Lytechinus pictus: one gene and its partners. The protein of the gene in region 3 purifies or fractionates together with the protein of the main gene of each other region. This does not show direct contact. Links are inferred from orthologs where the notes say so. Each region holds a gene or a part of one and is shown on either strand. Other genes may lie near its edges. The genes, in order: F-box/LRR-repeat protein 6-like, F-box/LRR-repeat protein 21-like, cullin-1-like and F-box only protein 38-like.

Region 1 (7,287 bases), on a different chromosome or scaffold from region 3:
CTACTACTACTACTACTACTACTACTACTACCACTACCACTACTAAATTGCTTCTAGTAGTAGTAGTACTACTACTACTATTTCTACTACTAGTACTACTATTTCTATTACTACTACTATTACTACTACTACTACTACAACCACTACTAAATTGCTACTAGTACTACTACTACTACTACTACTACCACTACCACTACTAAATTGCTTCTAGTACTAATAGTAGTAGTAGTAGTACTACTACTAGAAGCAATGCTTCTAGTAGTAGTAGTACTACTACTACTATTTCTACTACTAGTACTACTATTTCTATTACTACTACTATTACTACTACTACTACTACTACAACCACTACTAAATTGCTACTAGTACTACTACTACTACTACTACCACTACCACTACTAAATTGCTACTAGTACTAATAGTAGTAGTAGTAGTATTAGTGGTACTAGTTGTAGTAGTTGTAGTAGTAGTAGTAGTAGTAGTAGTAGTAGAAGTAGTAGTAGTAGTAGTAGTAGTAGTAGTAGTAGTAGTAGTAGTAGTAGTAGTAGTAGTAGTAGTACTACTACTACTACTACTACTACTACTACTACTACTACTACTACTACTACTACCACCACCACCACTACCACTACTAAATTGCTACTAGTAGTAGTAGTAATACTACTACTACTATCACTAACTACTACTACTATTACTACTACTACTACTACTACTACTACTACTACTACTATTATTATTACTACTACTACTACTACTACTAACTACTACTACTACTACTACTACTACTACTACTACTATTACTACTAACTCCTACTACTACTATTACTATATTACTACCAGTACTACTACTACTACTTCTACTACTATTACTACTACTACTACTACTACTTCTACTACTACCACTACCAGTAATAATGATGATGAGAATATTAATAATAATAATAATAAAAATAATGATAATAATGATAACAATGATAATAATCATAATAACAATAACAAAAACAACACTAATGATACTTATAGTTTTAATAATAGTAGTGATGATGATAAAAAGTAATGAAAATTTTAAATGATAGTTATTAAACCAATACTAAACCAACCCTCGCATTTCAGTTGTATTTATCAAACTATTCATGTTTGAAATAAATGACCTAATCACAATAGGTTTAGATATCATTTGATATCAACAGATATCATTTGAATTAGTTGATTGAATAGGTTTACTGTCAACTTGATATTACATGATAGAAAGAGATAGAAAGTGAAAATACAGGCCTCAATGTTGGCACCACCATATTCCATTACATTTCTGAATTTGTTCATTTATTTGATACTTCATCAACTTCACAGTCAATCATTCAATCCGTCAAAAAATACTGCTCAAAAGATACAACTGCCCTCCCCCCCTAAAAAAAATGAAATTAGATAATTGCACTATTGGACAGTGAATGAAATGAACATACTGTATATTCAAAGATTAACAACGTTGCTGGCCAATGACAGAATATACTTTCAAAGCTAATCTGTTTGTTAATTGGTGCATAAATCAAATAATTTTTAATTCAAATATTTATTATGAAAATAATGATATTTTCTTACGCCTACGCATGTGAATGAGTCCCCAATTTTCTATTGTTTGATATGTTATTTTAGGGGAGCCACGCTCTACAAGCAATGCTTTTTAGTGGATCCCCTCATTTCCATACAAGATTTTGTTAAAGCTATTTTGGAAATTGTAGTTGATTTGTAATCATTTATAACCATATTTCATTTGTATTTGTTTATATATATTATGATGTATGTCTGATTTGTATTTGTAATGTTATTGATAGGAATGAAAATAAAAACTTGATCTTGAACTTGAATGGTACACATAGTAGATATCCTCACCTTTTTCTCTACATCTACTGATTTCACAGAGAAGATATTTGGTTCCAGGACCCACTTTAGAAGGTCCCATTCCTCTTGCTGCATACCACTCAATCCTCTTCCCTCTAATATCATCTTCATGTTAGGGATCCGCCCAGCAACAGATTTCTAAGAAAGAATACCAGAACAGAAGTAACGAAAATAGTTTAAACAATTTTAGTTATCCAGATCCTATTTAAAACTCAACAATGAACTTGAATTTATACCAATTAGGGAATTTCATTTGGTTGACATCAAAGTGATCAATTATAATGTATAGGCCTATTAAATTTTAAAACTTTCTGGGATATTGTCTGCTAAGCCAACTTCTCTTGGTAGTTACTATTCTGCAGATTATTTTATGGTGAAATGGACGGCAGCTGATGTTGTAAATTGTTTTTTTTTTTCTTGAATAATTTTTCTTTAAAAAATATCTAGTTAAAAGGATACTACATTTCATTTCAGTACATGTAGCATTTTAATATAATGTATATAATGAATCTATGTTTCACATTATATCTACCAACTTTGCCTTTGCTCTTTCCCTCTCTGCTAATTAGCTAATTCTTTCCCGCCTTTTTAGGGGTAGCACTAATGCCAATTCATGTACCCCCTTTAGGGATTCTTTTGTAATTTGATGTGCACCATTCCACTTTTATTGTTAGCTTGGGAGAGAGTCCAGTGACTCATGACACTGGCAGTAGCAAGGGCATTCCTTCTGTTTGTTGTTGGATAAGGATACTTGTACCTGCAGAAGAAAGTTTGATTTTGAAGTATAGAGAAGTAAGTTGATTTACATATATATATACTCTTATTTGAGTAAATTGAATGTTTATTTCATTGATATTTTGTACTATTACTGTGATATATATATATATATATATATATAATTACTCAATTTTTGGAATGATATTTGATTGAACATCAATAACAAGATTCTGCATCAATCATGGTACACAACTCAATCAAGCAAAGAGTAAATTACAAATCAGGGCATTATCCAGGACTCAACATTAGCAGTGGCCCCGGTGGTCTGGAGCAACAACAAAAAAATCTGTAAAAGCCCACACTTGGTAGCATGGTTGGGCTACGAAAGTTTTGATAAATTGTAATGTTTTCTATTGTTCAAGGGCCACCATATTTGCTTTTTTTATGGTTTTTGTGGACTGATCAGGCCACCAAGAAAAAAAAGTTAGTGGGGAGCATTGTATAATCCATATTCATTTTTAAAATTATCCTCATAATTGTAGAACAGTAAATTCATTATCCTTGGACTCTTTAAAAAGCGAATCAAATTTAAATCAATACTTTGAGCCACTCCACAGGACCAAGCGTAGCGTGCTCTCCAACTTCAAAGATTACACATGATGTGCCAATCCTAATATTTTGCTGAATCAAAGATAAAGTCTAAAGATGCAGATAAGTATATATTTTGAGGCTTTTTTAAGTTTAATATTACCAATGCATTGAAATCCTTTTCCCCGTCTGGTGTAAGTAGATGAGGGCCCGGTGGATATGGCCTCAGAACACTGTCATGCCGGTAGCTGTCCAATGCTCCAATAAATAAGCTCCATCTCAAATCTGCTGCAAGAACATCACTTTTCACAAGCTCCACTACACTCGTTTGTAATTGTGTATCAATCTCCCCCATTTTGACTTTCACTTGTTCTTAATCTTACTTAGTTTAGAATTTTAATTAAGTTCTCAACAGTGAGATGGCATCCATGAGGATATGGGAGAGCTAGAGCTTTGTCGACGACACATGACATAAAAGATAAACACCGACACTGATTCCTAAGTAATTGAGCTTCTGGCTTCTGCAGCAGGCTGGCCTGCGCCTGAGCTGTGGCTGCGCCGTGGCTGTGCAAAAGTTATGGACACGTCACTAGTAGTATTATTATTACCGGTATTGAAATTGAATGCACTTATTTGGCTCAGCTCAGCGATCAAGTTGAGGATTGTTGTTGACGTGTTCTGCAGACAAAATCCCACAAACTAGCTAGATATGATTTGTTACTGCTGGAGTTGGAGGCTGGCGCATGAACTGCTCTTTTTACAAAATTTAGCTGGACTTTTCCTCAATTGAAATTGATTTATTATCCATTAAATTTCGGGAATTTCCCTAAATTCGGAGATCTTGCTTTATGGAACGCTACTTTGGAATCATAACATAATGAGGTAAAATTTAATAATAATACTGAAAAAGGCTTACAAAGAAACAAAATCATTGTACACCTTTAACTTTGAATAATATTTTTAATTATAATTCTTCCAAATCATTATACCCAAGTAAAAATGAAATAATATTAATTCAAATAAATACAGGTGAAACGCGCTGCTTTCCATAAAACTCTTAATTGACCATGCGAATGAGAATGTGGTATGGTTTTTGGCGCGGCTAGTACCGGTATAGCGTAGACGCCGCGTGGCGCATGCATATGCATCCGTCTATAAGCTAACGTTAGATATCTACACTGTCACTGTACTGGACTACTGATCGGCGGCCGGCGGATACAGAGATTGCACCACAAGCTGCAATTATGCATTTATTAACGTAAATTTACTCGCTTTCTCCATAGATTCTCACAGCAAATGGACATTGTCTAGCAAGCTCTGATTAAGAATAAGATTGATGGATGGATTCAATCAAGACCAAGCTCAAATTAGATCTCTGAGTCTAAATATTAATTGGTCCAGCAGCAGTGATAGTACATCCAGATCCAGATCCAGACTAGTAATAGTATTACGTTAAGTCGTTAGACGTCGTAGCACTAGCAACTTAGCAAGTCATCAGACAATACTGAATCAGAGATATTTGGCCTTGCCCTTGGGCTGTTGGGAGCCGAGAGGAGAACAACACTGCACTCCCGACTGCACTGCCTCTGCTCTGGGCCAGGAGAAAGGTACATCACATCACATCACATCACATCAGGTACGGAAATGAAGGACTTCTCCTGTAGGTTTTCCGATCTTAACTTCCAGTAATTGACGATTATCTAGACAGTTTAAACTTGTGAGACTTTACGTGCGTTGAGAAATGGAGGTTTTAAATCTTTCCCCCCACCAAAATTTATCCAAACGATGTTTAAACATTTCCACTGATTTTGCTTCCACTACTTCTGTAGGCAGTTTGTTCCAGTCAGAAATTACTCTTTGACTAAAAAATTTGCTCCTAAGTTCCAACCGGGATCGTCCTGTGAAGAGCTTGAACTTGTGACCTCTGGTTTTGGTTTACTTTTGCCATTTTGATTTGTCCAAACAGGAAGTGCTTTGGGACATACAAAAATTACAAGCCTGTACGAGATTAGTCATTAGACCAAAAACTTTGGTCTCTGATATTTGTTCTGCTGAACTCGTTGGCTCCTCTCACCAATTTACAGAGACCGAAGTTCTAACTCAATCTGTACAGGGTAGACAGCCGGGCCGGCAGCCGTCTATTTCAAGGAGTTTTTAAAAACATTTTTCAATTTTATTATATTTCTCCTCGTACACAGACGGCTCGCTATCGTGCAGCCACCATTATTAGGGGGTTGACAATGCAAAGTCCCCCCAACGGGGCTCATTGATTTTTGTCTATTTCATTAAAAAATATATAAAAAGAACTACCAAAATGAAGATTATTACCGTATTCTGTTTTGGCCTGAAATGCACCAAAACATTTGCATTGTCAACCCCCTAATGGCGGCTGCACGATCACGAGCCGTCTGTGTATGTGGAGAAATAAAAAAAAATTAAAATGTTAAAAAACTCCTCGAAACAGACGGTTGCCATCTGTCTAGTACGAGATAGGCCAGATCTAATAATATTGTGGATCTAGGCATGCTAGGGTAGGCCTAGTAGTAGAATCTAGATAGATCTAGACCTATGTCTGCACATCTGATTGTCAGATTGTAAAAATTCTTGTCTGTTTTGTCGATGTCTGAACTCTCTGATGTGATGTTTTGTCTTGAGTTTTAGCCTTTGAGGAGAATTATATTTTAACAGTTAAAGAGAAATTCCAGTATTTGCAGTAAACACTGATTTCATGAGAAAGTCTGTAAAACAAGGCTTAATTGTCAGTATATCATCGAGGATCTCGATCTGGTACAGTTACATAAACTGAACTTTGTGAAATCTTGAAATCTACGCTGAAAAATGTTCACACTGAAGATCACCAACACAGACAGGCACACGTGGGACAGTGTATTATTATTGCTAAAATAAAGACCCGACGGAAGTGACCGAATCCGCGCTTATTTTGCTTATTTCTCAGCAATTACACAATTTCTTCCAGAATCCTTTGGCACATATTTTTTATTCATACAAACAGACACTTGGGTGGTCATTATATTAGATTCTGTAAAAAGTCATTTTTAGATCGTTACCAAAACTGGAATTTCTCTTTAACATTTAAATTTGATAATTTCTAAAAACAAATTGTTTCATGCATTCAATCTGTTCTTTTCTTTCATTTTTTTTTTCACCTTCCTGTAGAATAAACACTCTCTTCCAGGATGCCAAAGAAGCGGATGCCGAAAGGGATCTTGGGTCTACCAAGTAGGAACATGCTCTTTTCCTTCACCCCTCGTAAGGGCGATGAATGGCCTGATGAGGAGGACGATGACGCTGATGACTCGGACTACGAGCCAGGACAAGATCTCATCCCAATGGTAGAGGACATGCCCAGAAGCTCTGATAGGTGATTATGTAGTCTATTAAACTCCACATTTTTATCCAACAGTGAAATGCACATGGTTTACAGGGGCCGCGGAACGGTTTTCAAAGTGGGGGACTGACCATGCAAAAAGTCACAATCCTATGGTAATTTTTACGTTTTTGTACACGGTTTTGGAAAAAAGTTGGGGGGGGGCTGAAGCAAACCCAGCCCCCCCCCCCTTCCGCAGCCCCTGATTTATATAATAAATGTTGAGTAAGTCCCTTTAATTGCTAGACTTTGTATAGTACGTGCCACACAGTGGTTTTAAAGCCAAATTGGTAAACCATCCGTAACTAAAGGACTGAAATGACATTGTACATTGTATAAATCAACATTAATTAATTTTAATGTTAATTTGTTATGTCATAATCTCACATCCATTTTGATATTTTATTATCACTAGATCTATACTATTATTGCCATATTGCAGCTACATGTATGCACCTTCCCTATGCACGTTAAAACCAATACACTATTCATCAAAGAGTAGGGTGTTCACTTGGTGTATTGCATTTGCCGGTCCCCGGCAAGATTCAAGTCAAGTCAATATTGACGTTCATATGCCATAACAATCAATATGGTGATTGTGGGCATTAACAGAAAGACAAGACTAGACAGCTCTTCATAAAGATCTTTCAATTTTCTCGCTGTCTCTATCTTTGATAGTGAATATCTAATTTTGA
Region 2 (6,992 bases), on a different chromosome or scaffold from region 3:
GTTTCACGTCACATGACCAAGGTCAAAGGTCATTTAGGGTCAATGAACTTAGACCATGTTGGGGGAATCAATATCAAAATCTTAACCTAAGGTTAAGTTTTTGAAATGTCATCATAACTTAAAAAATATATGGACCTAGTTCATGAAACTTGGACATAAGATTAATCAAGTATCACTGAACATCCTGCATGAGTTTCACGTCACATGACCAAGGTCAAAGGTCATTTAGGGTCAATGAACTTTGGCCGAATTGGGGGTATCTGTTGAATTACCATCATAACTTTGAAAGTTTATGGATCTGATTCATGAAACTTGGACATGATAGTAATCAAGTATTACTGAACATCCTGTGCAAGTTTCAGGTCACATGATCAAGGTCAAAGGTCATTTAGGGTGAATGAACTTTGGCCACGTTGGGGGTATTTGTTGAATTACCATCATATCTCTGTAAGTGTATTGGTCTAGTTCATAAAACGTGGAAATGAGAGTAACCAAGTATCACTGACCATCTTGTGCGAGTTATAGTAGTTTTCAAAGTCAGCACTGCTGCTATATTGAATCGCGTGATGCAGGTGAGACCGCCAGAGGCATTCCACTTGTTAGTATTATACATTTAAAGAATTACTATGGCTCAACTTGCCCCATGTTGGCTGGCTCAAATTACCCCAGTCCGAACTTAATGCGATATTTTCACATCCAAACATTTCTTACGCATCCAACATCTAAAAGACTATGACAAGAATGAGAATCCATACCTGGACTAACAATATTGTTCTTATTTCTTTATTATATTCAAAGACGTGTGGGGGTAAAAAGCACTTATCAATTTCACACCCTTTTTTACTTTTTTGCTGAAATTTGTATTTTCCCCTCTAAAAAATTACTTTTTGTTTCAAAGTTGAAAACAATGTAGTGGGGTTAAGGGTTATGTAATGGGTCATCAATACATGACACCACCACAATGTCTGACTCATTCATTATTGGCCTGGGGGTGGTGGCTCAACTTGCCCCTATGCTCAACTTGTACCCCGCCTCCCCTACACTGTAGGCCTGTGTGGAAGATGCATCATTTCTTCTTGGGGTGTAAGCCTGTAAGGGATAATTCCTTAGGGTATCAAAAATTTATTTAGAATCATTAGCATCGAAAAATAATTTTAAAACATGTCTCGATTGATCGGCATTGATGTTGGAAGATCTGTCATTTTATCATGTTTTATATATTGTTTCGTCAGAATACTGGAAAGATCTGCATCTTAATCATCCTGACCCAGGCTTGATTTATTTTACTATTTCCATACACAATTGTATTTACTGGTAAAGTGAAAAAATAAGGAAAAAGAAATATGTTTCAGACACTTGCACAATAAAATTTCCACATACAGAGGCCTACATACATATATCTCGTTCAGCAATCATTTGTACACTGTAGGGATGCAAATGCCTCTGGCCCAGAAATTATGGTAATCAGTTGGCTCTACATTTACCTATATGTACATACATGTATCTGAGAAATCTAGGGAGCTAGTGAGCTCTATAGAGGAATATATCACAAGTAGGCGTTGTAAATAGAAGCGGTTCATGATAAGATCTTGAGCATTCATTATTGAAACTTGATTCCCTTCTATTAGATGTGATCAGAAGCTGGAGTTATTACATGTTTTTGTCACAAGTGTTCAGCTCATTTTAATTCATTTCATTTTTTCCCCGCAAAAACGTGCAGTTACAAACATGACACATGTCAATAGTAGTTTACCTGTATACTGAGAGGGTAGCTCTGCCAAAGAGGAATTTAAACCCTATCTGTTGCCAACCTTACTTACAAAAAGCTCTAAATTGAAATTAATGCTATTTTGGTAAAAAAAAAAAAAAAAACTGTGCGTCTGACAAAAAGAAAACCGAGAATTATTGTTCATTTATCTTAACTTAACCATAAATATAATCGACAAATGACCTACATGTATCATTGTAAAGCTTAGAATCTCCTCTTACAAGTATGTCTATAACTCATATAATTACTCTTTCATGAGTTTCATGCATGAATGAGTAAAAATAGTTCTTCGAAGAAAGGATACCCAAAAGTTCCCTGTCACAAAGAACTTGGTCTTGCCTAATTTTAACTTTGAAATAAAAAGTCTAATCTAATTCTTTTAAAGGTCCAGCCAGTCTAACCCAGAAAAAGAATCAATTAGAATCAAACAAACATAATTCTTGAATTTTCTTCAAAATCGGATGCAGAAAAAATAGGTTTATGTTATTTTCAAGTTTCGTTTGTTTTTTTCAAAACAGTTATATGCACAACCCATTGATAAATGAGAGAGAGCCAATAATGTCACTCTCTATATCTTTTTATTGCTTTTATTATTTGAATTATTAAATATTTCAATGTTTGAAGATTTGACAATAAGGACACTCTTTATTATAAAACCCTCAAAATGTTAAAATGATGGATATTACACATGTTCAGGAAGGAATAAAACATTGTGTCACATGACAATCAGGAGGAAGATAAATATTTCATATTTCAAAAAAAAAAGAAGAAGATATAGTGAGTGATGTCACTGACTCTCATAATTTGCATATTACTTACATGTAGTTGTGCATGCATACAATTGTTTAGTGAAAAAGAAGCGAAACTTAAAAATATCACATAACTTTCCTATCTGATTTTAATTTTGTTCAGTCTTATGCTTGCTTGATTTTTCTCTTTTTATTCAAGTCAACTATTTGTTGGGATGGACTTTCCCTTTCATGATACCTGTGGGGCATACCATCCCCCTATAGTAATTATCAGAATGAATGTGTGATTGTGAGTATTGCCATGTCATATGATAGTAACGTTGACCAGCAGCAGAAATTGAGTACCTGAAAGGATTTTCATCGAATATACGAATATCCCATCTTCTGAAATTATTTGATGGAATTTTGTCTTTCCTTTTTTTTAGATGTATCCTCTTTCCCCATTAGTGTCAATCAATCTCAATCTCTAGATCAACCATTTTCTGGTTTAGGAGTAAAATTTTATACCTCAGTCACACTCCTACGGCAAGTAAAAAACAGCTCTGTTTAAACATTTACTAATTTTTGGGTTTGAATAAAAATTGATAAAACGGCTGTTTTGTACGGTCGCTGTAGGGGAAATATGACTGCAGCATAAGGAGTTGCCTTGCCTTTTATTTACCACAGAGTACAGACATTTAGTGCAAGCTTTACCACATTAAAGCATACATGATTCTTCAGTTTTTGTAAATCACATAATTGTCACTAATCCATTTTACTTGAAAACAGTTGTTGTCTGAAAGATAGGTAATATAATAAAATCAAGAATTATACAAATGCAAAAAAATAACAAAAATAGCAAAAACAAAAAAACATTAGTGATGATGTAAATGTGAGGGAGTAGCAAAAAGCAGTTGGATTTATCTTGGCTACTCCCTGTATTAAAGGAGGAGTAAACCCTGGCAAAATGTTATTGTGAATATAGCTGAAATAAAGGATATTGGTGAAGGTTTGAGAAGAATCCATCAAAGAATAATTTGCGAGCAGCTTTCCTATATCGTATGGCAAAAAATCAATGAAATTTTATTTTCTTGAAAATGTTTTTTTATCGTACCTTCAGTATATAATTGACAAATCATTTCACACCCGCTCCAAAAAGAAAAAAAGTCATCATGAACCATTGAAAAAATGAAATTTGTGTATTTTGTTTATTACATTACATACATGTACATGTATGGGGCAGCTGCTCATATTACGTGGTGTCACAGATGAAAAAATTAAAATTTTAATAACTTTCATAATGTTTGACATAATTTCCTCAAACCTTCATTAGTATTTTTATTATTTTTTTCTGCTATTTTTACAACAAACTTTTTGTCAGGGTGAACTTCCCCTTTAACATTCATTAATTGTGCTTCCCTTCAAGAGAAGAGACTTGTTGCATCACTCGCTGTAATTATTATTTTTTCCTTCTTCTTTGCTTCATTTCAGCACTGTAGTAGTGTAGTATCGAGGCATGGCTTACAGCAGTCCTTTCATGAAAGCTGTAACTACCGCCAAGGACCCGATGAGTTGTATCGTTGGTCCTCCTCCTCCACCAATCAGTAGTAAGAAGGTCATCTATACACCTTTCTCCAGGGTAACCACTACTGATAAGAAGCAATGTATCAGAGGGCTCATCTACAAGAATTTGGCTTCATCTTCAGCCAACCACTGTAAGAAGTTTTACTTATTTTTAATAGGTCTATTTTATAAATGCTTGTGGTGATATTATCCAATCCAATGCAGTGATATTCCCGGGGGAGGGGAGGACTCAAATTATATTTTGATGGGGGTGTGCCTCACGGAACCCTGAAATGGGGGTCTAAGGAACTGACCACAAGGGTAAAATACAGGGTATGGGAACTGAATATATACCGGGCGGCAGTGTGAAAAACGGTCTATGGAACGGGATTGCGGTACAGTACATGTGGGTGTAGTCTGCAGGCATGAGTAGGCTGCAATTCAGACCCTTTACTCGAGTGAAGGGTTTGCACAGCAGACTAATGGGGCGCTAGCGTTGCATGGAGCTGCTAGCGGAGGGAGTTGTGAAGCCGTGCGTGCAGCTCTCACATGCCGTGCTCGCGCTGGACAATTTTGACAGGGCTAGGGAACCGAGATGTTTCGTAACGGGGGTCTTGCGAGCGGGGCGGGGCAGCTTCTGAATAGAACTTTTGTCATTCGGAGTATCTAAAGAACTGAAAAAGGGGGTCACCAAAGCAGCACGTCCCCGTACCACCAATATATGTGAATGCCCCCCCCCCCCCGGGTGATATTATCTTTGGTATTTTGGTAACTACCATGGAAATGCTGGTTCCTTTTACTATGGTATGTACTTTGAATAACCACAATAGTTAGTTATATGAAATAAGCCCCTGAATTTCTCATCATTATCATCATACATACATTTTTATTGATATTTTAATCAAAACAAATTGTCATTCTGTTTAATTTCTAGCTAATTCATAAATCTATGGCCAATGATGTATATTTTTGTATACAGAGAAGGTGAAAATATGTGCATTTTTAATCATGAATCATGGTGCATACATGAATTTTGTAGTTTTAAAACATAATTTGGTTTCTCTGTTAAAAATCACGTGGGTTCCGTAACACAAAGGTTTGCAATCAATCGCTAAATACCAATGACCAATCACGATCATTGTTGCATGCGCACTCTGTTTAAAGTACTGACTGGGAACCGAAAAATGCAGTTCTTTCATATTTGCAATTCATCTCAAAACTTTGTGTTACGGAGCCCTGGTCGGCAATCAGCATATCAGGGCATTACAAAATTAGTGCTGATGATAGAATCAGGAAATGTCTGCCAAAAATACACAAATTGGTAACTCAATACATGTATGTTTGCCATATATTATGTCGACCTTTTTGTTTAAATCAAAATCAGACTTTTTGTAAGAACCGTTCAGATTATAAGAAAAACCCCACAACAATCAACTAACAAAGAGAAGTCCAATCCAGTTTCACAATGCTTTGCATAAAGTAAAAATATATATTTTGAGAGGGTAATAAACTTTCACTACTTATCAGTCACATTAAAAGTGCAATTTGAAAAGAAAACAAAAGAGATTATCTGTCAGAGAAGTTTGGATTAATTTTTGTCATCATCGATTGGTAAAGACACTGTAAAAAAGGTGAAAAAACCCCAAAACAATATACAATCAAAAATACCCTTACCCGGAACAAATTGCAACAAATGATTTTTCATCAATTTTTGATGCTATTTGACCTCAGGAATAACATACTAAAAATCTACAAAAATCCGGTTGCGGGAAAGAAGTTATTTTCAAGATGGCTGCCATTCACTGAAAATGGATACAACTCACTCATTATCCACCCTAGAATCCAATATCGGTTCATATTCCATGGTCTAGGGGGAGAATAATTTGTTGATACAGGCTAAAGTATACCTGGAAAATCCAAGATGGCGCCCAAAAGGGCTGCAGTAGGCTAACAATCCACAATTCATATATTACTTATTTAAGTGGTTTTAATTTGGTTTCTATAAAATGGTTTGAGGGTGAAGAAGTACATTGGGATAAGTTACAAGGACAGTTAGTGGTCAGGTGTGTCCAAAAATCCAAGATGGCTTCAAAAAATGAGTTTAACATGAATGTTGATACTTGAAATGGTCATAGCTCATTTCATATCCACGTGGGAGATATGACTATTGACTATGGTTTCAATGGTCAAATATTACATTGGGACAAGGACGGTCAGTGGTTCGGTATGTTAAAATATCCAAGATGGCTTCCAAAAATGGAGTGTAAAATTGATGTTGCAACTTAAAAAAACCCTTGACATTGTTTGTTCAATGTCCGGGAATATGGTTTTTGTGTCTATACCAACTGTAGGGAACACTACCCATGTCCCCATACCCCCCCCCCCCACCAACATCATGCCATATCTTCCTTCCTCAACCACTTCCTCTCTCTCCCTCTGCGAGACTCTCCTATTAATGATTCAGTGGTTTTTAAATCTCACTTTCATGCCCATATTGTGTTTAGGGATGCATACATTGAATTAATTTAATCAGCACTAATTTGCTATCACCAAATCCTCTTTTTAATGCAATATTAGGCTGCTAATGTCTGATCGAGTATACTTCTTAAGAAGTGCTAATTATCTTGTCTTTTTCAGAATACAAATCACATTTGGATAGTGGGGAAAGGGAAATTAATGATTAAAAACTATGCATTTGAGTCAGAATCTACTTTCTGTGGTTTTATCCTAGTTTTTAGGCAAGTACCTGTACTTTTGGTATGCCATAGTGTGTCATGAAGCTGTTCTTATTTTGATGTTACACGCAAGTGGTATCTTATGGATGGTGGATGTTGAATCAGATTATCATTTTTTATTTCCATCAGCTCAAGTTGATATCCAATCTTTATAGATTAAAACATTTCATTATTAACAAAGATTTGAATGGAGAATTC
Region 3 (7,718 bases):
AGTACAGAGTACTGAGAGTACGCGATGCACGATGAGAAGTACAGAGTACTGAGACTAGAGTACCGGTGCACGATGAGAAGTACAGAGTACCGAGAGTACGCGATGCACGATGACAAGTACGGTACAGAGTACTGAGAGTACCGGTGCACGATGAGAAGTACAGAGTACTGAGAGTACCGGTGCACGATGAGAAGTACAGAGTACTGAGAGTACGCGATGCACGATGATGAGAAGTACAGAGTACTGAGAGTACCGGTGCACGATGACGTTCCTTACTCAGGATTGTCACTTGTCGAACCTCTCATTTCTGCCGCCGTCAATCTACCGTACTGAGTTCGAGCTGCCCTCGACCTCTCTGTACAACGCCAGCCAACTTCGTCGAAGGAAGGGGGGGGGGGGGGAATTCATATTCTTCCATGCACAATACAATAAAATCTAGGCCTACATCCACATTCTCTGACTTAAAAACAGTCTACAACATTTCCATAGACACATCATGAAATAACATCTAAATATTCATCTGTCAAGACGTAAAAGACTTAAGCCTAGATTTATAGGCAACTACGAGGTACAAAACAAACTCAAACTAAAGACTACATAACTACGAGGTACCCTTGCACTTTTGTCCCTAAGTTACCCCAATTTCCTTAACGTTACGATGTTTCATACTTCTGCGTTTATCAATTGAGAAAGAGGGAAAAACAAAACAAAACTCTCCTTAAATTCTGTTGTGTACCACATACAAAATAAAATCAGCAATCAAGTAATATCTCTAAGAGTAAGACCAATGTTAAGGGCAGACATAAAAATATTCATCTCATCGATCGGGCATCAAGCCTAAAATTTCTATAAAGAACTTCGAAATTCCAGTTCTCACAAATTTAATTAGAAATTCCTTTTTATAGAAAAGGGGGGGGGGGATATTATATAACCTTAAGAAGTTTAAAGAAATATTCCACTCACGATTCTTGCTAAGGTCAAACGCTTACAAGTACTTTCAACTGGAAGACTGGCTTGGAGTTCTCTCTAGACAAATACTCTCAAAGATGCAAAGTGAAGAAATTTTCACCCTCTGCCCCTTTTATACCCCTAGCCATCGGGCCCCTATCGCCTGACAAAAACTTGATTTGCCCGCTTACGTGATTGGCCAAAAGTTTGTGACGTCATCACCCGCGAAAGACGAAATACAGAATGTACCATTTCCGGTAGGGAATAATCACTTCTAGTGACTAAAATAGGATCATTAAAGACATCATTTTATCATAAAAGGGAAAAATAGAGCATCAAGCTCCTCACCTAAAAGACATTTACAAGGTAAGTGACAATTTATCGAGAAAACTCGCTCCGTGCATCACCGTGCACGCCATTAACCTAACCTTGTCCCACGTACTAAATCCTATGTATTGCTGTGGTTCTAAAAATAGCACAATCTGCCTCCGTTACTATGCTCATTGACTGCTGTAGTAAACACACTCAGCTGATTTTACTACGTTCATTCAAGATTCAAAACAAACAACAGCTGTGAGTGGTGGCGTTGTATTAAAGTGGAATTTTTGATAGATTTTGGATACTAGTAATTAATTCTGGCTGAAAGTAAGCACAGATCTAAATAGAAAATATTAAAAGAGAATTTTGAAAAATTTTGGGGGTATTTCTTCACACATAATACAATATACAACTAATTTATTCTTCCCCATTACGTTTCTCTTCCTTTCTCCCTCTTTCTCCTTTTCTACCTTGTTTCTTTTTTTTTTTTTTTTTTTTTTTGGCCAGCCGTTGGGGGGGGGGGGGCGTACTGAGTTACGCCACTTGATTTTTTTTTTTTTTTTCAATTTATTCCCCTCCACAGGGATTTTATTATTATTCAAAACATAACAAGATATCTTTTCAATGACAAATCAAATTAATAACAACGAAATACAGTACAACAGTAATTGCAACAAATACATAAATTGAACTGTCAGGTTCACATAATAGTAAACAATTTAAGGAAAAAGCAAGGAGTAAATGAACAATAATATTCATATGTATATACATGGAAAGGGAACTGAACAGATCACTTCATGTAAACATGGCACGTAATTGAAACCATTTCTTTGTAAACTTTACCATTTTACAATTTGACTCTGCGATATATTTTTCATTCTTGAAATAATTCTGAAGTGCAAATTTGATATTATCAAAAACAGGTAATTTATGTTTTACTCTGGAATTGTAAATCATCTGTCGTATCACTATCAATAAACAATTTAATGCATAATTACTTGAACCTCTTAAACCAAATAATTTTTCTTTATTAGAGAAAAATATTCTATTTCCAGTTTTAAGAAATATCCATTGTTCAAACCTGTCCCATATATGTTTAATACATGTACATTCACAAAGTAGACGAGTAACTGTTTTACGGTGTACATTACAAAAAGTACATTCTTTTTGTTGAGCTAAATTAATTTTAAACAATATTTCATTTGTATATAAATACGTTGCATTATTTTGAACTGAAACCAACGTAAATTCACATCGGTATTAGTACAACTGAATCAAATAGAGCAATACGACTGCCATTGCTTGTCATTCATATCGAATATACACTTCCACTTAAGAAAACTTTTACATTCCACTTTTCTTTTCTTTTTAAGAATCGTATAGATGTGTGAACAACCTTTATTATATTTCATAACAAGTGCTATTGTATCAGGGATAATAGGTTCTTGGAACTTGCTAAAGTGTGTGCCACTGCTAAAACCGTCTCTTATGGCATCACATAATCCACGGTAAAAAAGAAAATTTATTTGAACATTGTATTTTTCCTGAAGGTCATTCAAAGAGAGGAAATTGCCATCTAAAATATCATTAACGAAACGAACACCCCTATTATTTAGAGATCTACTGTGAATTGAGCTATTACCTATTTTGATAAAATCATTGTTCCATAAGGGTTGGCAAGGTATATTAAATTTAGTGCATAGATAACAGTGTGCTATACGCTAAGAACATTTCTTTCCAAAAAGGATTTTAATTTCGTGTGCCACTTTCTAGAAAAATAGCTATTTCCCATATAAAGATCCAAGTTTTGCGTTTTATGCAAAAAAAGACTGAAGAAGACAAATAATATTACCGTCAATGGAACCGTTTATCATTTTTTTCATCCAAGAAATTTTCAATGACTGGCATTGCAGATTTATGTCTATCATTTTTACTCCACCTTCAGAATAACTCTGAGACATTTGATTTCTACTTACTTTATCTGGTTTCTCTCCCCATATGAATCTATGAAATTGGGAATCTTTTAGAAATAACTCTCTTGGATTCGGGAGAGAAAGAATTAAGTATAGTTCAATTTAGACACAAACAATGACTTGACAACCGTAACTCTTCCAAGGACCGTCAGGTAACGTCTTAACCATGAAGTCATTTGACTTTTGATCTCTTTAAACTTTTCATTGTAATTATGCACTGTCATTTTCTGAAGATCTGTACAAAAATCTATACCTAAATATCTGAAGTATTCATCAAATACCCAATTCAAATTCCCATTGGCAAGAATACAGTCTTTCTTGTTCTTGTATCCTCCAATCCATATTGCATGCATGTGTCTTGGTTATATTAACAGTCAAACCTGATATTGTTTTATATTTTTACAAGATGTCAAAAGCACTACTCAATTCTCTTTCTGAACCGTTTAATGTCAGAAGAGTGTCATCTGCATACTGTAATATTTTATGACATTTACCAGAGGGCATCCTCAAACCATCTATTGACGTTGATTGTCGAAACAAGTATTTCAGCACATAATAGAAAAATATATGGAGACAATGGATCTCCTTGGCGACAGCCTCGCTCTATTGAAAATCTGGGAGACAGGTGTCCATTGATTAAAACACAAGATTGAGCATTTTCATAAAACACATCAAACCATTTAACAATGGTCGGACCGAATTTAAAGAAGTGTAGTACATAATGCGAATAATTGATTTATGAAACACGTACCCACCCGGTCATTTTATCGATAGTTAATCTCAGCTCGCGCTTTCAATTTTGTATAATCAAGCGTACAATAAAAGTGCCTTTGTAATATTTTCAAGTCATTTACCCCCCCCCAAAAAAAAAAAAAATAAATAAATAAATAAATAAATGAACCCCGGCGGTTTGCGCTCGCATTATTTTGTTTAATACTGTACAGGTTATGACCAGTCAATGAGAAATCTTATACCCTGGACTTGCTTTCGCTATATTATGTAGGCTTTATAGATGTTCCTGTGTGCGCTGGAAGTAATTACGACCCCTCACTTTTTTCGCAAATATAATATATAGATGCTTTTTATAGCAAATAATATATACAAACGCTTGTAAGAGGAATGAAAAAAAAAAATAAAACAAAGAGGTCCCACCGAGACTTGAACTCGGATCGCTGGATTCAAAGTCCAGAGTGCTAACCATTACACCATGGGACCTTGGCTGTTCGTCGGAGGGAACAAAAACATATTAAATTTAAAACTATCTTTATGTACGTCTAAACTTGTTTTTATGTTTTGTCATCTATAAACACTATATTCAAATTCTAGGAAAATTGAATAATGAAATGCAATAGAAATTCTGAGCCGAAATTCTTTTTATGCAGTGTTCACAAAGCCTCGCAGTCATAACTTTAGAAATATAGATATTTATAAACTAGTACTAGTATCATTTGTTGTGCGCGCTCACTCGCGAGCTATATTCACGGTGCAGGCAGTGCGCGCGGTGTGTGCACGATCGGTGCGCATGAAAAACATTAACAGACGTCCGAAATGGTACCGGTGATTTATCAACATTTATACCATTAAAAAACAACATTTTCTTCACAGTTCCATAATTCAATCGACGAAAGTTAAGGTAATTTAACATAGACCTCTTTCATGCTAAATATTCTAATTACAAATATATTGAATTTGTGGTTTATTAAGTTGTTTGGAGAACTCCATTGAATTGAGCTGGATGAACAAATGCGACAGATCTTGAGTCGCAGTCACAGAGTCGACAAGACTGCTCAGTCAGACGTCAGCTACACTCCCTACACTACGTCTACAGAGAGAGTGCAGCAATTTATATTCGATTGTTCTGTCGTGTAGATCTAGATAACATTTACATGTGATCATGTCGATTTTTCATGTTGTTTATTGCCAATTGCGTTCCTGCTGACAATGGCTGAGGTCAGTCAATGTCAGTGACATTAAATTTTAATTAAGTTAAGTCTTAATTGTTTAAATATCATCAGTTTAACTTTAACTTAGGCCTAAGTCTTTTTTTTCTGACTTATGATTTTCATTACAGATCGAGCATGCGATCTTAGTTAAACACATAGTCTCATAGAAGTAATGCCGAAAATTTGTTTACAAATAATTAAGTCTTATTTATTTTGACAATGTTTGAGCTGAGAGTGTGTGATGTAAATAGACAAAGACAAGTAGAATGAAGTACAGTCAGACTACGGACGGTGTTGTCTGTTGAAATCTGAGTGGTGTTGCCTGTTGTGTTTGTGTTGTCGGTGACAATGTCGTGCAAAATCGGATAAGTACAATAGATTAATATTAACTTTTTAGATCTAACAAAGTTAGATCTACATGTAGATCCCTCGATGTTAGATCTACATCAATTCATATGATGGGGTGACCATAATTTGCGCACATTTTAAAAATTATCATGAAGTTGATTTTCAATCAAAAATTTCTCACAGACACAGTTCACACAAAATTAATCAAAATCATAAATACCAAACAGAAGGCAAGACCCCAAAGTCAAATTCGCTTGACAGAATTATAAAGTAGGTCAAGGGTTTCGCTAGACCAAAAGCTTCGGTCTCTGTTATGTTGGTTGTTCAGCTGAACTCCGTTGGCTTCACTCACCAAATACAGAGACCGAAGTTCTAGCGCGATCTGTACAGGGGACTCAATGGCCATATGTTTATGTACTTAAGATCGGATAAAACGGGGAAGTGAATTTGCGCGACAGCCGAGGTAAGTCACTGTTTTTGTTCCTTTTAACTTGATTTTTCTCCATTTTTGGGCAATTAATGCCAAGAGGGAATATTAATTTGCATTTTGGTCGCGTTAATTTTCAAAATTTTTATTCATTAAAGACAAAAATTGAAGAGCCCCGACGGGGGGATTTTGCATTGCAAGTCCCCTAATGGTGGCTGCACGCTAGCGAGCCGTCTGTGTACGAGGAGAAATTTAAAAAAAAAAAAGTAAAAAAACTCCTCGAAACAGACGGCTGCCAGCTGTCTAGGGTTTCGCTAGACAGCTGGCAGCCGTCTGTTTCTAGGAGTTTTTAAACATTTTTATTTCTCCTCACAAAAGCCTCGCGATCGTGCAGCCGCCATTAGGGGATTAACAATGCAAAATCCCCCCGACGGGGCTTATCGATTTTTGTCTTTATTTCATAAAAATGTATAAACAGAACTGTACCAAACAAAGATTATTATTCTGTTTTGGCCTGAAATGCACCAAAATGTTGAAAAATAAACTTAAAACTTTCAGGACAAAAACAGTGATATACTTCAGCTGTCGTGCAACTCCCACATCCTTGGTTTATCCGAACTTAATACATTAACATATGGCCATTGAGTCCCTGTACAGATCGAGTTAGAACTTAGGTCTCTGTATTTGGTAAGTGGAGCCAACGGAGTTCAGCGGAACAACCAATTTAACAATAACAGAGACCGAAGCTTTTGGTCTAGGGTTTCGCTTGTATCGCGATCTTAAAATTCCATGGCGATCAACTAGTGCGTGCTCGGCTGAAAAAGTGTGATCTTCATTTGCGCACGATCGTTTTGCAAGGCTTTAGAGTTTAGTCTTAGAGTTGAAATCAAGTGCTCAGACAAAGGTAAGATAATTATATCAGATGGAAGTTAAAATGCCATAAATTCGGTTGGTACCACATTTTACTAACCGTACTTATTTGGAGATACTGCTTGCAAACTGGCGATTTCTTGATGCTTGTCCAGAAGATTGGACGCAAAAGGTAACAAAATTTGCTGATGTTTTGCCAATATTTTCACAAATAGACTTATCGAGACCTTACCTTGAACAAAATTACCATACTGAGTAATTTTAAGTCGCTCTTTCTATTGGTGATATAAGTTTTTTAAGATATCAATTAGATATTGAGATATTCGACCGTTCGCAAAATTGGGTAACGCGCAAATTAAGGTCACACTACCGTACATGATGTACATGTAGGGCCCCCTAATGTTAGATCTAACTTAGAACTAACGTTAGACCTTACCTATCATCACGCATTCACGGGGCCTGTTTTGGGAATTTTGGGGAATTTTCATTTTTTTACAAAAAGTGATCAATTGTGTTTTAAAATACAAAACCATAAATTGATATCCTCAAATCTAATACTTTCCATCATTCTTTAAATGGCCAAGGGTATAAAACATCAAACTGTACGTACATGTAAATACATTATACAGTATACATGTAGATGTGTAATGTGCATGTATATATGTATCCATTGTAAGTGTAGCATGATAGGCATTTATAATTTACAAAATGAAGCTTCTTTAATTGAACATTGAAAAATATAAAACCTTGCATTACACTGTTTTTTTAATGTCAAGGGTTTAACATATAAGAACCTGCCTTCCATTTACAAATTTTACGTAATAAGTTGGTCCTCACACAAGACTAGCACAAATACAACTTTCCGTTGAACAAAAGGACCTTCTGTACTAG
Region 4 (7,581 bases), on a different chromosome or scaffold from region 3:
ACCAAACAAAAGCATGGAACATCGAATAAAACAGGTAGAATCGGCCATCCCACAGGAGTTATGACACTAGGGTACTCACTTTTTCTCAACTGAATAAAATCATTTTTTAAAGGGGTTGTCAAACTTGTTGTGAAAGAATATATAGATATCTTTATATACTGTCCCAAAACAACATTGACCCAAACACCCTCACACACGTCTTGAACAAGGTGGTTCACTAACCACGAGTCTGGCCTGATTTCACGATCAATAGAATGTGCAATATGACATTTGGCCCCTAGATGACCTTTGACCCCATCATTCTCATGAACACACATGTGGCATTACCCAGGGGGGGGGGGGGCACTCAGTATATAATGCATAGTGGGTATGTGCCGCGGAGGGGACCCCCACTTTTACACTCAAATTTCCGTTCCAAGGCATAGCATTGTTATCTTATTGAGAAACAGAACAAAGACAGCCGCTCCAAAGCATAGCATTTTCTTCTTATCGAGAAAAAAAGAAAAGAAATCTGTTCCAAAGCTTCGCATATTTTTTGTTACGCCGTTCCGGCTTCATTGATCTGCTACAATGAGCTGCAATTTTGGTAAAAAAGCGACCGCAGAGCGCTGTCCGACCATCGCCTCTGCCAAGCGCACCCAGCGCCCATGCCGCCGGGCTAGCTACATGCACGTATGCCCGTTCCATAGGGATCGATGCATACGCACTCACACGCAGGCAACCCGTTCCAATCCAAGGACCCCCGTTTTCACAAACATTTGTGGTTCCGAAGCCCGTTTCAGGGACCCTCCTTTTTACAATAAGCCCCCGTTTTTTGTCTCGCCCGCGACATACATGTTTACCTACCACTTTTTTGGTCGAGTACCCCCCCAGCATTACCTATTGTACCACGTGTTATCATGTTTATGCAGAAATATAAATGAAATGAGAGCAATTTGAACGAAAATTTACCTTATGACCCTTACATGACCTTTGACGCCATCATCCGCATGGACACACATGTGGTATTACCCAAAGGTCATATGTACCAATTGTGAACATAACTGATGCAGAAAAAAAATATACGAGAGCAAATTGAACCAAAACTTGACCTTTTACTCTTAGATGACCTTTGACCCATTTTCAACCAACACTTCTTCTTCTTCTTCTTCTGGAAACAGTACAGTCCACCGTCTGGTGTATTGTCGTACTTATGTGGTATTTATTACCCAATGATCCTTTGGACTAATAGTGTGATCAAAATTGATGCACAAATAAAGAAAAGAGAGCAAGTTGAACAAAAACTTCGGAAAGGGATGAACATGACCTCATATGACCTATCGACCCCTAGATGACCTCTGACCTCATCATTCTCATGGGGTCACATTTGATATTACCCAAGGATCACATGTACAAGTATGAACATAATTCATGCACAAATAAAGAAATGAGAGCAGCTTGAACAAAAACTTTTTTTTAACAGACTACTGGACTAACAGGAAAAGTGCATACTATCAGTTGTTGTGTGTCCGGACGATCAATTTTAGAAAGTGTCATCAATTTTTAGTACAAAATGTTAGGAAATATTATAGAGAACAAAATAGAAGATGATTACAACTATTGAATTCATATTTTTAGTGTAATCCAAAGACAAAAAGAAGGTCTACTTCAAAAATATTAAGTGTCCGGACACCCGACCCTCCATCCTACATTTCCTACTAGGTCTCTGCCGAACTTCATTCAGGCGAGACACAGATGTTCCGATGAAACAAAATACTGAATAAAATCATGTCTTTTCTGTAACTCGAGTCCTGAAGCAAATACCGCTGTGACTGAGTGTCACTGGACACTGCATTGCGAGTCTGTGTGATTAGGCGTTGCGACGTGTGACCAGACGTCCCGTATTTCCCGGGATCGTCCCATATTTTGCTCCTTTGTCCCGACATACCCTTCCCGGGACACCTATTTGTCCTGTATTTCAGAATATTGAACAAAATATAATTAATACATATAATATAAAAGTGAAGAATTTTCATCAAATATCTAACAGATGACTAAGCAGAGACAACAATAAAATCGAGTACTGTAAACTTTTGCAAAGTTCTGCGGTGATTTTCTTGCTACCCAATACATTGCAAACGAATAGATCTCTAGTTATATTTTTTTTTGATCTACACACAAACACACCCACGCGCGAAGTCAGAACGTACTCGGAGCAGACTCTCAATGGTGCAGACAATCTCACATGATAAACAGTTTTCCACCAAAATAATCACAAAATCGGTGGGAAATTTTCATAATTATATTATGGATTCTCAGATTACTGATTTGGTGGTGTAATCGAAGAAGCAAGTTTTTGAGTTTTCATAACTAGATCTATAGTTGTTTCAGCTTTCGTTTTGAGTCTTGTTGTGACCAGCAAGAACTTGTAATGGGATGAGAGATGCCTGTGTGTGATGCGGCGATGTTTCATCTAATTTTGAAGTTTGACAATGTTTCACTTTGAAATTTTACTCATTTCTAAAACATTTTAGTTGTTTCCAATCTTTAATTGAAGTTTGAACTTTTTTTCCTTTTCTTTCCTTTTTCTTCCATTTCTATCCTTCTTTCTTCATCCTTTCCTTCGTGCTTGCCCTTTTTTGTTCCATCTATCTTTATTTCCAATCGTTCCTATATAGCTTTCTTTCCTGATCCTTCTGTTCATTTTTCTTTCTTTCCTTCCTTTTAAAATTTCCTTCCTTCATTCTCTCTTTACTTAAACTTTTCTTTGCTTCCTTCTCCCTTCCTCTCCTTTTTGTTCTTTCTCTCCATTATTTTCTTTTTTCATTCTCTCCTATTTTCATTCCTTCCTCCCTCTCTTTAATCCTTTCCTTCCTTCTAATTTTTTTCCCTTATTTTTTCTTTCCCTTCCTTCTTTCCTCCCTTCATGTTTTTATTTCTTTGTTTCTTTCAAAGAATGAAGGAAACATTTTCTTTCCTTCATTCACTCTTTCTTTCTTCTGCCTTTCTTTCTTTTTTGCTTTCTCTCCTTTATTTTTTCTTTCACACATCTTCCCTTCCTTTCTTTCTTTATTAATTTCAAAGAATGATGGAAACCCTTTTTCTTTCTTGTATTCTTTCTTATATCCTTCTTTTACTCTAACTTTCTTTTATATTTTCCTTAAAGGAGAATGAAACTCTTGGAGCAAGTTAGCTTTTGTGAAAGCAGAAAAATCAAAGAATAAGATCAACAAAAGTTTGAGTAAAATAGGACTAGCAATAGAAGAGTTATGAGCATTTGAATATCGAGATCACTAATGCTATGGAGATCCTCCCATTGGCAATGCGACCAAGATCTATGATGTCACAGATGAACAACTCTCCCCTTTTGGACACTGAAATTATACCCCAAAACATCTCTTTTTGCTCATTCTAATCATATGACAAATGATTCATCAATGATATAATGTTGTGAAACCTCTGTACTTTTCCTCTCATAAAGAGAACACCTCACCTTGTGATAGACTCAATAAAAGTGAGAATATAAGTGAAATAAGTACTAAAGTAATGAGGGAGTTATACGTGTGTGACATCACAGATCTTGGTCGCATTGCCAATAGGAGGATCTACATGGCATTAGTGATCTCGACATTCAAATGCTCATAACTTTCTTATTATTCATTCAATCTTCCTCAAACTTTCAACAATATGTTTCTTTGATTTTTCTCTTTGATATGGATTCAGCTGGTTTCAAGGGTTTTATTCTCCTTTAATTTTCTTTACTTCATTTCCCCCTTCATTGTCTTTCTTTCCTCAATTCTTTCTCTTGATCCTTCATTCTTTCGTTCACTCTCCCTTCCTTTTCTTTATATTTTTTTACAAGTCTAACATGGTGTAGCATTCTTTGTTGATTTTTTTTTAGACCTGGCTCGGTTGATCCGCTCGTGTAGCTGTAGTGTGCTTTGTTGATTGCCCGTAATCCGTATTTCAATTTGTAAAATCTGGTCACCCTGGTCCTGCGTGTGACGTTATGCGTTAGAAAAGTTACAACATTATGCGTTGGACGCTCTTGGCATCATTTCGCAAGCCCCACCTAGACTAGATCTATTATACTCTACAAACGCAGTTCAAGCGAATCCAACACAAAACTGTGATATCCCCATTGCAATTATCTGCATTGTAATTGCGTGCACTTATGCCCGTAAATCATGGCTAACCCAGGGAGCTCCCGCCCGCGATTCGGAGCTCTCTGGGTTAGTAAATCATGGCTAAATAGAAACTTAGCCTGTGTGTGTTAGCCAAATTTTACCTGGGTATTCCTTGTCTTTGAGTCGCACATAATGAGCCCTTCCTGGTAGCAAACGCGTCCTCCCTTTATTTAATGGGACCAAAAGAGGTTATCATCAATCAATCAACCAGTTTGAAGTCCTCGATTTTTTTGCTGTTTTTCGCTCCTCAGCTCCGCTTGCCCCGTCTCGATCTCGGCTGCAGCTGATGTACCGCTCCGGCTCCCGCTCGAGCTCCGGCGCGGCGCGGCCGACCGTACCGGTACCCGATATACGCCTGGCGATAGGCGCGCTAACTAGCGCGAGCTCGCTCGATCGAGGGCGATCGCGCGAGTCGAGTACGGTATATGCATGCGCCATATTGTGAGCTGCTACACACTGACACTGCATGCACCGCTGACTGCTGTCTTGTGCATGCTGTGTTTATTTCCCGTGTAGTTTCCTGTCAGAATATCATGGCCATATGCCGGTACAGCTATTTCTAGCTAAGTTAGGGGTGCAACAACATGTTCCAAGCAAAGCCAAAGGAATATTCAATTATTTCTGTGGCTGCATGCAGAAAGACTCAAACTCAAATTTCAAAAAAGAGACTCGCCCTGAGCCTGATCATCTATCTCAGTATCTGATGCCTGACTTCATTGGTGATTTTCATTTGTTATTTGGGAAGTGCATGATTGCATGCAGCTTGCTCAACCCTTCCACAGATTTGAAAATTGGAGGATATCAATCTCACAATAGGGGCTAAAAGCGTCTTTGTACACCGGTCGTTCCGCTAACTACGTTGTCTCCACTCACCAAATACGGTACGGTATGCCGGGACGGTATGTCAGTAGAGCCAGGCACACGGCCAATATGGGACTCAGAGACTGACTCCCATGAGAGAGGTCCAATATCAGAGACTTTTGTAAAGAATTCGGGTATCCAATTTCAGAGACAGTCTCCAGTTTGGGAGACCCATTTCCTTTGTTTACATGGTTTACATTTAATTTGCTGCAAAACAATTAACTTGGTGGCAAATAAAAATATGATAAGCAGATTCCTCATAAAAATTACCCATTTTTTTGTCATCCTCACACAAAACAAATGGGCTTCTCAGTGAGACAAACTTTTGGGTAACTATAAAAAAATTATGCTTTTGTTGGTGTTTCTTTTGTTCCTAAGTTTTGCAGAAATGTTAGCATGGTTAGAAATTGTTAAACTCACTGTTAGACATCCTCAGAATTTGCAGAAAAAATTGTTAAAATCTGAACAATAATTATATACGTGTCGATATTATTAATATTATTAATATCTGCATTACATAGGCCTTTTGTATTATCTGAGTTTAATTTGTAATCATTTAATTTATTGAATAAACTATGAAGTGTGAAAGTTAACCAAATGCACGATAACTGCACAAGACTCGGAACGTTTGCATTGTCTTGAACCTAACCATTTTGTATGGTTGGAACTACCCCTTATCGACCACCTAATCTTCTAAGCATCGTATCTGCGAAAATATTCATCAATTTTACCCAGTTTTCGTCTCATTTGTGCAGAAAATTTAGCAGATCAGATTCCCATGTTTCGCTCGGCGACTTCGATTCAATCCGCGTATATATCGACAAACAACGGATACGACGATTTTACATTTGCTCATTTGCACCCGTCTTTTGAAACCGACCACCCGCGTTACGCTAAGTTTACGGCCGATTCTTGTCACGGTGGCGAAATATTTTTACTCTTCAAAATCAGTTCTATGATGTCAACATGCTAAATTATCGTCTCACTACTTCCACTGCGAGCTCCGGCACATGATTCGACGATTGACGACGGATATTTGTTCTAAAGCCGTTTCCTATCGGATTTCTTGGTTTTTCAGCGGGGTTTGGGTCTGGTCAATACAATTTTGATTAATTCTACTAATTTTTTACTTTTTGTTGCTTCTTTTTTTCTCGTAAAATTGATTCTTACCGTTTCTATGGACACTGCGCCTACTCTCCCGCGCGTATCGTTTGTAATATATATTACGCAATAATTTTAACGCGCGCAAGGTGGTCGGTTTCAAAAGAGGAGGTCGATATGTGGTAGTCTCACCATACTCATTTTGTATTTCGAAACTTGGATGAAGGAGATCATTTCGTCAACAGACACCACACTGCCTTGACTGGTATTGGGGGGCCCTAAGACTACGCATGCGCAGCATGCAGAAGCCGAGAAACTTGATCAATGTAGTGCTGTACTGATCCGGGCTTGGCCAGAAAATACATCTAAAGTGGTTAAGTGATTTGTGATGACAGTCTGTTGTGATTCTCCCAAAATTGCACAAATAATGCAGCGCTATACCTTCTTTTTACTGAATTGATTTAAGTACAGAAAAAGTTATATAAAAATTATCGCAAATTATGCTGGCGCAAATATTCACTACTACGTGCCGTATAAGCTAAAACAACAACTGGTCAATGGTCAATCGCGGGGTCAATCATATTTAGCTCTAGGTCTAGGCTATATTTTTTCAAAGCTTTTTTCTTTTTAAAACTTTTTTTTAAAGACTAGCCAAACGTGTTTAGGCCTTCGTGTATGTTTTTTCCCAAAGGTTTTTCCTAGGGCCTTTTTCCTCCTTTCTGGAAAGTGTTCAGGATTTTCCTGATTGTAAAGCAATGACCCTGGGAAACGGGAAAACGGTTGTGAAATTTGTCACCTCTCTGCATGTCCACGCGACAACTTGTTTAGGGGCCAAAATGTAAATGAAACCTGTGAAAAACTTGTTTAGGGGGGTATTTTGCACACAGAGAAAAACTCGTTTAGGGGGTGTTGGGAAATAGTTCAGAATCAGAAACTAAGTCAGAATCTTACTTTAACCTGACAAGTTGACCCTTTGCATACGTACATCTTTTTTCTCTTTTACTTCCAAGAAAAAGTTTAACTAACTAAGTCAGAATCTTACTTTAAATTGACCAAGTTGACCCTTTGCATGTTCATCTTTTTTCTCTTGTATTTACGGAGCCTGTCTGTTACCCAACAATTAACATAAATTAATAAATAAGGGTGCCACTTAATTTTGAGATAGATCTATCTCAAACAAACTAGATCTACACTAGCTACATGTAGCTAGGTCACTATTCTGTAGACTCTAGATCTAACTTTTTACTTTGTTTAGAATTAGTTTCGAGCCCATTGAGATGCCCTATTTCTCTTAGACTTCAGCAATTTGATTTCAATGTCTTGGACTTAATTTTCTGTTATTTCTGTTTTCAAAACAGGAATTGGTTGTGAAAACTGGACCTAGTGGAAACCACAAGCAAAGATGCCGAAGGCAAAGTCCAAGAGTGTTCATAAACGAATGAAAACAAGGATG

Evidence for each region.
Region 1: the proteins of cullin-1-like (region 3) and F-box/LRR-repeat protein 6-like purify together in Homo sapiens (affinity purification with mass spectrometry; 4 studies listed by BioGRID, with this or other methods). This does not show direct contact. The link is inferred for Lytechinus pictus from reciprocal best matches to the Homo sapiens genes CUL1 and FBXL6.
Region 2: the proteins of cullin-1-like (region 3) and F-box/LRR-repeat protein 21-like purify together in Homo sapiens (affinity purification with western blotting; 6 studies listed by BioGRID, with this or other methods). This does not show direct contact. The link is inferred for Lytechinus pictus from reciprocal best matches to the Homo sapiens genes CUL1 and FBXL3.
Region 4: the proteins of cullin-1-like (region 3) and F-box only protein 38-like purify together in Homo sapiens (affinity purification with mass spectrometry; 4 studies listed by BioGRID, with this or other methods). This does not show direct contact. The link is inferred for Lytechinus pictus from reciprocal best matches to the Homo sapiens genes CUL1 and FBXO38.

The regions. Positions count from the first base shown.
Region 1 is NC_087249.1:6,509,332-6,516,618, forward strand, and holds the start of F-box/LRR-repeat protein 6-like, read left to right. Parts: upstream 1-4,281; 5' UTR 4,282-4,840; intron 4,841-6,381; 5' UTR 6,382-6,401; coding exon 6,402-6,586; intron 6,587-7,287. Other genes in the region: protein mono-ADP-ribosyltransferase PARP16-like, read right to left, coding at 1,891-2,037, 3,368-3,559.
Region 2 is NW_026974140.1:17,213,443-17,220,434, reverse strand, and holds the start of F-box/LRR-repeat protein 21-like, read left to right. Parts: upstream 1-3,981; 5' UTR 3,982-4,012; coding exon 4,013-4,211; intron 4,212-6,992. UniProt on the Homo sapiens protein: Substrate-recognition component of the SCF(FBXL3) E3 ubiquitin ligase complex involved in circadian rhythm function. Plays a key role in the maintenance of both the speed and the robustness of the circadian clock oscillation.
Region 3 is NC_087247.1:61,241,946-61,249,663, forward strand, and holds the start of cullin-1-like, read left to right. Parts: upstream 1-4,702; 5' UTR 4,703-4,872; intron 4,873-4,973; exon of another isoform or gene 4,974-5,189; intron 5,190-7,718. UniProt on the Homo sapiens protein: Core component of multiple cullin-RING-based SCF (SKP1-CUL1-F-box protein) E3 ubiquitin-protein ligase complexes, which mediate the ubiquitination of proteins involved in cell cycle progression, signal transduction and transcription.
Region 4 is NC_087259.1:21,838,626-21,846,206, forward strand, and holds the start of F-box only protein 38-like, read left to right. Parts: upstream 1-4,563; 5' UTR 4,564-5,047; intron 5,048-7,456; exon of another isoform or gene 7,457-7,486; 5' UTR 7,487-7,530; coding exon 7,531-7,581. Other genes in the region: putative methyltransferase C9orf114 homolog, read right to left, coding at 4,268-4,297. UniProt on the Homo sapiens protein: Substrate recognition component of a SCF (SKP1-CUL1-F-box protein) E3 ubiquitin-protein ligase complex which mediates the ubiquitination and subsequent proteasomal degradation of PDCD1/PD-1, thereby regulating T-cells-mediated immunity.